Macaca fascicularis: one gene and its partner. The protein of the gene in region 1 interacts with the protein of each later gene in a biochemical or structural test. Links are inferred from orthologs where the notes say so. Each region holds a gene or a part of one and is shown in the gene's direction. Other genes may lie near its edges.

The links. The genes of interacting proteins can lie anywhere in the genome.
Region 2: the proteins of CUL4A (region 1) and DDB2 form a complex in vitro, tested with the Homo sapiens proteins (2 studies listed by BioGRID, with this or other methods). The link is inferred for Macaca fascicularis from reciprocal best matches to the Homo sapiens genes CUL4A and DDB2.

The regions. Positions count from the first base shown.
Region 1 is NC_088391.1:103,655,833-103,659,481, forward strand, and holds part of CUL4A (cullin-4A), read left to right. Parts: intron 1-1,147; coding exon 1,148-1,266; intron 1,267-3,649. UniProt on the Homo sapiens protein: Core component of multiple cullin-RING-based E3 ubiquitin-protein ligase complexes which mediate the ubiquitination of target proteins. As a scaffold protein may contribute to catalysis through positioning of the substrate and the ubiquitin-conjugating enzyme.
Region 2 is NC_088388.1:18,611,616-18,615,264, reverse strand, and holds part of DDB2 (DNA damage-binding protein 2), read left to right. Parts: intron 1-1,514; coding exon 1,515-1,660; intron 1,661-3,263; coding exon 3,264-3,363; intron 3,364-3,447; coding exon 3,448-3,625; intron 3,626-3,649.

The DNA.
Region 1 (3,649 bases):
AAAAAAAAAAAAAAAAAAAGACATGGGTTTTAGTAAGATAAAGTACAAAAAGTTTGTGTCAGTAGATCAGAATGTAACTGAGAGAAATAAACATTTGGAACTCTAGGTAAGAATTGTAGGCCGGGTGCGGTGGCTCAAGCCTGTAATCCCAGCACTTTGGGAGGCCGAGACGGGCGGATCACGAGGTCAGGAGATCGAGACCATCCTGGCTAACACGGTGAAACCCCGTCTCTACTAAAAAATACAAAAAAAAAAAAAAACTAGCCGGGCGAGGTGGCGGCGCCTGTAGTCCCAGTTACTCGGGAGGCTGAGGCAGGAGAATGGCGTGAACCCGGGAGGCGGAGCTTGCAGTGAGCTGAGATCCGGCCACTGCACTCCAGCCTGGGCGACAGAGCGAGACTCCGTCTCAAAAAAAAAAAAAGAATTGTAATTATAGCCCCACCGTATGTTTGCACACATCTTTAAACCACCTCATTTGTGTGGACATCGGGCCCATTGTGGGCAGAATCTGAGACTTTGTGAATTGGATGACTGTTCACTGTTTTGTGCTCTAACCTGGCTGCCTCTCAATAGTTACCATAAAGCAAGTATTTAGAAAATCTATGAGAGTTTTTCTAATTGAGGTATGGTTTTAGAAAACCCTTATAAACATTAAAAATCTAAAACACTGAAAACTTTTTTAAATGCTGTGTTAAATACTTCAAAATATCTGATGATATTTTTCTCTTATAGTTTAGGTGTGAATAAATTTAATCCACTATAAATTAGATTTGATAGCTTGTCCTTTTACATTGTCTGGCTGATGGACTAAATTAGAAGTATATTGGGAACATGAACCTCCCAGGTTAAATAGTTGGTGTAAACTGGATTTTCTGACTTGCTAACTTTAGTGAAATAAGAGGGCTTCAGTGACATGAAGAAGTAAATACATCTTCCAACATGCTCAGAAAAAATGAGGTTCACCTAATAGGATCCATCTCAGATATTTAACCAGATCAACCTTCTCATATACAGGCAGTGATGTGTAGAGCCGCCCAGTTTCTAAGCGGTGTATTGGCGTTCTTACCCTGCACGCTGTATTCTAGTTGAGTTATTGTTGTTAATGCTGCCCATGCTGTACTCTGCTGACGTGTACTGCACATCTCAGGGCTTGACCACTTACTGGACGAGAACAGAGTGCCGGACCTCGCGCAGATGTACCAGCTGTTCAGCCGGGTTAGGGGCGGGCAGCAGGCGCTGCTGCAGCACTGGAGCGAGTACATCAAGGTACTGGTGGGGTTTCGAGGCCGCAGGCGCGGGCGTTTCCTGCAGGGAGCAGAGCCCCTCCTGAGAACACCCAGTGCCCTGACAAAGGGAACTGGGCTGCTGGAGGGCCGGTTGGCATTTTCATCATAGATGATAGGGTGGATGGTAGTGTTCTATCTGCTTCCCCATCACCAGTGTGAATTTGCTTTTTAAGATAACACCAGCAGTGATTAGCACCATCCAGGTAGAAAGTATAACTTAAAGATCAACAGTTTTGCTCTTCTTCATCAGCGTAAATATTGGTTTAATTCTAAATCATGATTTTTCTGAAAGTAATCATTTTTGTAAATCTGCTTGTCAGACAAGATCTCCTCATGCCCTTAGCTCAGTGAGAACTATTATCTATTTGGCATATTAGGTAGCTTTATAGACTTTATTTCTTAACAGACCAAATTTAGGATTTGTTACTTAAACTTTCGCTTTCATGTTTCGAAAGCATTTCTTTGGCATCCCTGACAAGCCCAATCTAACCCGTCATAGAGTGGCTTCTTGGGCAGTACCCTGAGTTTTCACGTGTCCTGCCCAGGAGAACAGCCCCTCGGTGCTGACATAGGACCTCCCTGAAGACTAGGGGCTCTCGGCCCAGGGCACCACCCCACCAAGGGGACACTTGTTGATGTGTGGAGACGTTTGTGGCTGTCTGAACAGAGAGGGTACTGCTTGCTCTGCTGGGCAGCCCCGGGGTGCTGCTGAATGCACGAGGCAGCCCTCACCACAGAGAATCACCTGCCCAGAGTGCCAGTGTTGCCCAGCCCAAGAAACCTACTGAAGACCCTCTATAATGAGAAGCCATTCTCCAGATGCCCCTTACAGAAACAGGAGAACTGAGGTAAACATCAGGGCCCCTTCACAGATAACTCGTGTTTTCAGTATGTGCCAGTTGCATGAATTTTCCAGCTTAAATGGTGAGCGTTTAGCAGGAGTCTGTGTGTGTGCTTGCTGGTGACTATTCTTAGATCCCAGAATGAAAAGATAGATAAAATTTCCAGAGAATTACGCTGAGAGAAAAAAAAAAAAAAGCCAATCGCAGATACTTAACATGTTATTGCATAACATTCTGGAAATGGCAAAATTTGGAAATGGAGGACAGATGAAAAGTTACCGGGGTGTAGGGATGGAGCGGGGTGTGTGGTTATAAAAGGCCCCAGGAGGTAGCCTTCTGCAGGAACTGTTGGGGTTTTGGCCGAGGTCTAGATGTGCACACCCAGATGAGTTACAAGTCAACTGGGCCATCTGAAAAAGACCTGGGGGGTTATCAGTGTCAGTATCCCGGTTGAGATACTGTTCTGTAGTTTTGCAAACTTGCCATTGGAGGAAACTATGGAAAACAAAGATACTGGGATTGCTTTGCTATTTTTACTATTATGCAGCACTTTCATTATCTCATAAGATTTCCATTAAGTAAAAAAGATAAATGAAAGCATACGTGCTGCTTTATGGAATAATCAGACCTCAAGTCACGTATCAGTCCAGCTATGCAAAGCCGGCACACCTAGCAGCTCTCCCCACAAGGTCTTGTACAGCGACGTTGAATTGGAAGTTACAACTGAGTCACACTAAATTGGCCATAAAGCTACTGAAGATTTAGGTTTTTTGCCAGTGAGACAGTCTTCAGGGGATGAGAATATGTGCTAAAAAACTAGGAAAAGTTCACCTTTGCAATTTCCAGTCTGGGTAATAAAAATCAGTGAGTGACCGTCACCCCTGAGTGTCAGCAGTAAGCAGTTATGCTATAACAAAATAGTGGTTTCCATTCAACTCCACATGCCGTTATCAAAGTAAAGCTGTGCCCTTTCTGTTGGCATCTTTTTTTTTTTTTTTTTTTTTTTTTTTTTTTTTTTGAGACAGAGTCTCGCTCTGTCATCCAGGCTGGAGTGCCGTGGCATGATCTCAGCTCACTGCAACCTCCGCCTCCTGGGTTCAAGCATTACCCTGCCTCAGCCTCCTGAGTAGCTGGGATTACAGGCTCCCGCCACCACACCCAGCTAATTTTTGTATTTTTAGTAGAGACGGGGTTTCACCATATTGTCCAGGCTGATCTTGAATTCTGGACCTCGTGATCCACCCGCCTCGGCCTCCCAAAGTGCTGGGATTACAGGCATGAGCCACAGCGCCCAGCCTTCTGTTGGCATCTTTCCACCGGCCAGCTACCTCGTGTGTGTGTGTGACGTGTGAGTGCACGTGTGCATTGTATTGAGACACATTTTTTAAATCCAATAATTGTATTCAGTTCCTCTTGAGCAAATGTAGTTTATGTCATCAAATAGTTAACTTTTTTAGTGCCACACACTTTTAGGAATGTTTAATATAACATTTTTTAATTAAAAAAACAAACTAGGCTGGG
Region 2 (3,649 bases), on another chromosome or scaffold:
CTAGAGTGCAGTGATGCGATCACAACTCACTGCAGCCTCGACCTCCAGGGTTCCGTCATCCTCCCACCTCAGCCTTCTGAGGAGCTAGAACCACAGGCACCTACCACCATGCCTATATATATATGTGTGTGTGTGTGTGTGTGTGTGTGTATATATATATATATATTTTTTTTTTTTTTTTTTTTTTGTAGAGATGGGGGTTCTCCCTATATTGCTCAGGCTGGTCTTGAACTCCTGGCCTCAAGCAGTCCCCCCGCCTCAGTCTCCCAGGTGGTGGGATTACTGTGCCTGGTCTATTGGACATTCTATGAGGGCAAAACAATAGTGATGGAGAACAGATCAGCCAGGGGCTGGGGGCGAGGGGAGGGTGTGATTGCAATGGGATAGCACAATGGAGTTTTTGGGCTGTTGCAAATGTTCTGCATTTTGATTTGGGTGGTGGTTATTTAAATCTATACATATGTTAAAATTCAGAGAACTGTATACCCCAAATTTGCTATATGTTAATTAAAAAAAAGAAAGTAAAAATAAAGCCTTAAGAAGTGAAGGGAGGCCAGACTTAGTGGCTCACGCCTATAATCCCAGCACTTTGGGAGGCTGAGGCTGGCGGATCACCTGAGGTCAGGAGTTCAAGACCAGCCTGGCCAACATGGTGAAACCCTGTCTCTTCTAAAAATACAAAATTTAGCCATGCGTGGTGGTGGGCACCTGTAATCCCAGCTGCTTGGGAGGCTGAGGCAGGAGAATCGCTTGAACCTGGAAGGCAGAGGTTGCAATGAGCCGGGATCACGCCATTGCACTCCAGCCTGGGTGACAGAGTGGGACTCCATCTCAAAAAAAAAAAAAACAAAAAAAAGGAAAGGGAGGGAGGGAGGGAAGAAGAAAGAGAAAGAAAGAAAGGAAGAAAAAGAAAAGAAGGGGCCAGGCAAAGTGGCTCATGCCTATAATCTTAGCACTTTGGGAAGCCACGGTAGGAGGATCACTTGAGCTCAGGAGTTCGAGACCAGCCTGGGCACCACAATGAGACCCTGTCTCTACCAACAATTTTTTAAAAATTAGCACTTGTAATGCCAGCACTTAGGGAGGCTGAGGTGGGCAGATCGCTTGAGCTCAAGAGTTCAAGACCAGCCTGGGCAACATGACAAAACCCCATCTTTAAAAAAAAAAAAAAAAAAATACAAAAATGAACTGCGCATGGTGTGTGCACCTGTAGTCCCAGCTACTTGGGAGGCTGAGGTAGGAGGATCGCTTGAGCCTGGGAGATTGAGGCTGCAGTGAGCCGTGTTCGTGCCACTGCACTTCAGCCTAAGTGACAGAGAAAGACCCTATTTCAAGGGAAAAGAAAAAGAAGTGAAGGCTCTGTGGAGAGCGTCCTAGTGTTTAGGTGTCCGAGCTGACCTGGCCCCACGCACTGCTCGTTGGTGCTTCCGTGACAGCGCAGCACGCGTGCCCAGGCCTGGTTCCTCACTGCCAGGCCCATCATCACTCACTGGCTTTTTCCTTCCTCGTGTTAGATTGGAGCTGGAGGGAGCATCACTGGGCTGAAGTTTAACCCTCTCAATACCAACCAGTTTTACGCCTCCTCAATGGAGGGAACAACTAGGCTGCAAGACTTTAAAGGCAACATTCTACGAGTTTTTGCCAGCTCAGACACCATCAAGTGAGTAGTTTAACTAGGCGGGGAAAGGGCTTCTAAGCTTAGGTGTAGTTCCGGCAAGAGCATCCAGATCCCATTTCCTCAACCCAACCTGGCACAGGGAAGAAAGGAAAGATGTCAGCCACCTTCCGCCCTTCTTTCTCTTTCTCAAACTGTTCCTTGGCCACCCTCACTTTGGTCCAGGTGGGTTACTGCTTTGGGAAGGTGTTCTGGAGCCTCAGCTCTTCTGTAAGTCATACCTGTATTAGACTAGACCTGGACCTTCACTAGATAAGCCAGCATGGCATAGGCCCAGAAAGCCACCTAGAGAATGGAGCAGCAGCTAAGAACTTGAGACTGAATTCCCTGCACTCGCTGTGGTGTAATGACCTGAGCCGTTCCTGGGTGCAAGCTTACATGGATGGAATCTTGTCCATAAAGTGCTCTGAACTTCCCAAGAGAAAGTGGCTGGAGAAATTACAGAATGCAGCTGGGTGCGGTGGCTCATGCCTGTAATCCCAGCACTTTGGGAGGCCAAGGTGGGTGGATCACCTGAGGTCAGGAGTTCAAGACCAGCCTGGCCAACATGGTGAAACCCCATCTCTACTAACAATACAAAAAATGAGCCGGATGTGGTGGTAGGTGCCTGTAATTCCCAGCTACTTGGGAGGCTGAAACAAGAGAGTAGCTTGAACCCAGGAGGCAGAGGTTGCAGTGAGCCAAGATTGCGCCACTGCACTCCAGCCTGGGCAACAAGAGTGAAATTCCATCTCCAAAAAAAAAAAAAAAATTACAAAATGCTCGTCACTTTGATTTCCAGCTAGAGCCGGGACTCTGACTGCTCCCTGAGGAATTAAGTGAGGGTGCTGGGGTGTAACTAGCATTGGATGGGATCCTGGGCTGTCCTGCAGGGATGAGGAGTGCATGCGCAATTCAGCAGGTGATTGGATAGACGAGGCTCCAGGCTCGTTTTCCGCAAGAAATCTTCTTGCTTGAAGATATTCATAAGGGATGGCAAAAGTCAGTGTAGCATGGATTTGAGGGTTTGAGAGAAAAACTGAGCTGAGCTCCTCTGGCTGGATAGCAGGATCCCTGAAGCACCCCTAGTCAGCCTCCCAGTCCAGTGGTTTGAGGGACCAGAAGAGCTCCTGGTTGTGTGTTTTTCCCTCAGTGTTCAGAAGGGGGCAGAAGTGCCTTTCCAGCCAGCTCTGAGGAACAGAGCCAGGCAATCCCTGTTTGGCTTGTGTCTCCTTTGGCCCAAAGGGTGGAGAGTGAAAGGAGAGAGCAGTAAAGGAGGATTGCTTAGAACCCGGGGTGTGGGGGCGGGCGTGCCCTGAGGCTTGCTTTATGGTTTGAGCTTTGTCTGCTTCAGAGACTCTTAGGAGCTGGGGATCCTGGGCCCAGCAGTAACCAGACAGATTTCTGAGCCCCATTACCCCATTCCCTCTGTCTGGACGGTAGAGCAGTCTGAATGTTCCTCGCTAGGAATCCACAGCAAGACAGTTATTCATTCATTCAACAAATATTTATTGAATGCCCACTGTGGGTTAGTCACTGGAGCAGCAACAGTGAGTAAACAGGCCTATCTCTGTCCCCAAGAATCTTACAACACAGTCTTTCCCTCCAGCATCTGGTTTTGTAGCCTGGATGTGTCCGCCAGTAGCCGAATGGTGGTCACAGGAGACAACGTGGGGAACGTGATCCTGCTGAACATGGACGGCAAAGAGGTGCGTTCTCCCAGGTCCTGCCTTTCCCTCCCTCATCCCCGCCTCGGTTCTGTGTCCCCACCTGAACCGAGCTCTTCTCTGCAGCTTTGGAATCTCAGAATGCACAAAAAGAAAGTGACGCATGTGGCCCTGAACCCATGCTGTGATTGGTTCCTGGCCACAGCCTCCGTAGATCAAACAGTGAAAATCTGGGACCTGCGCCAGGTTAGAGGGAAAGCCAGCTTCCTCTACTCGCTGCCGCACAGGCATCCTGTCAACGCAGGTGTGATATCCCAGACCTCATCTC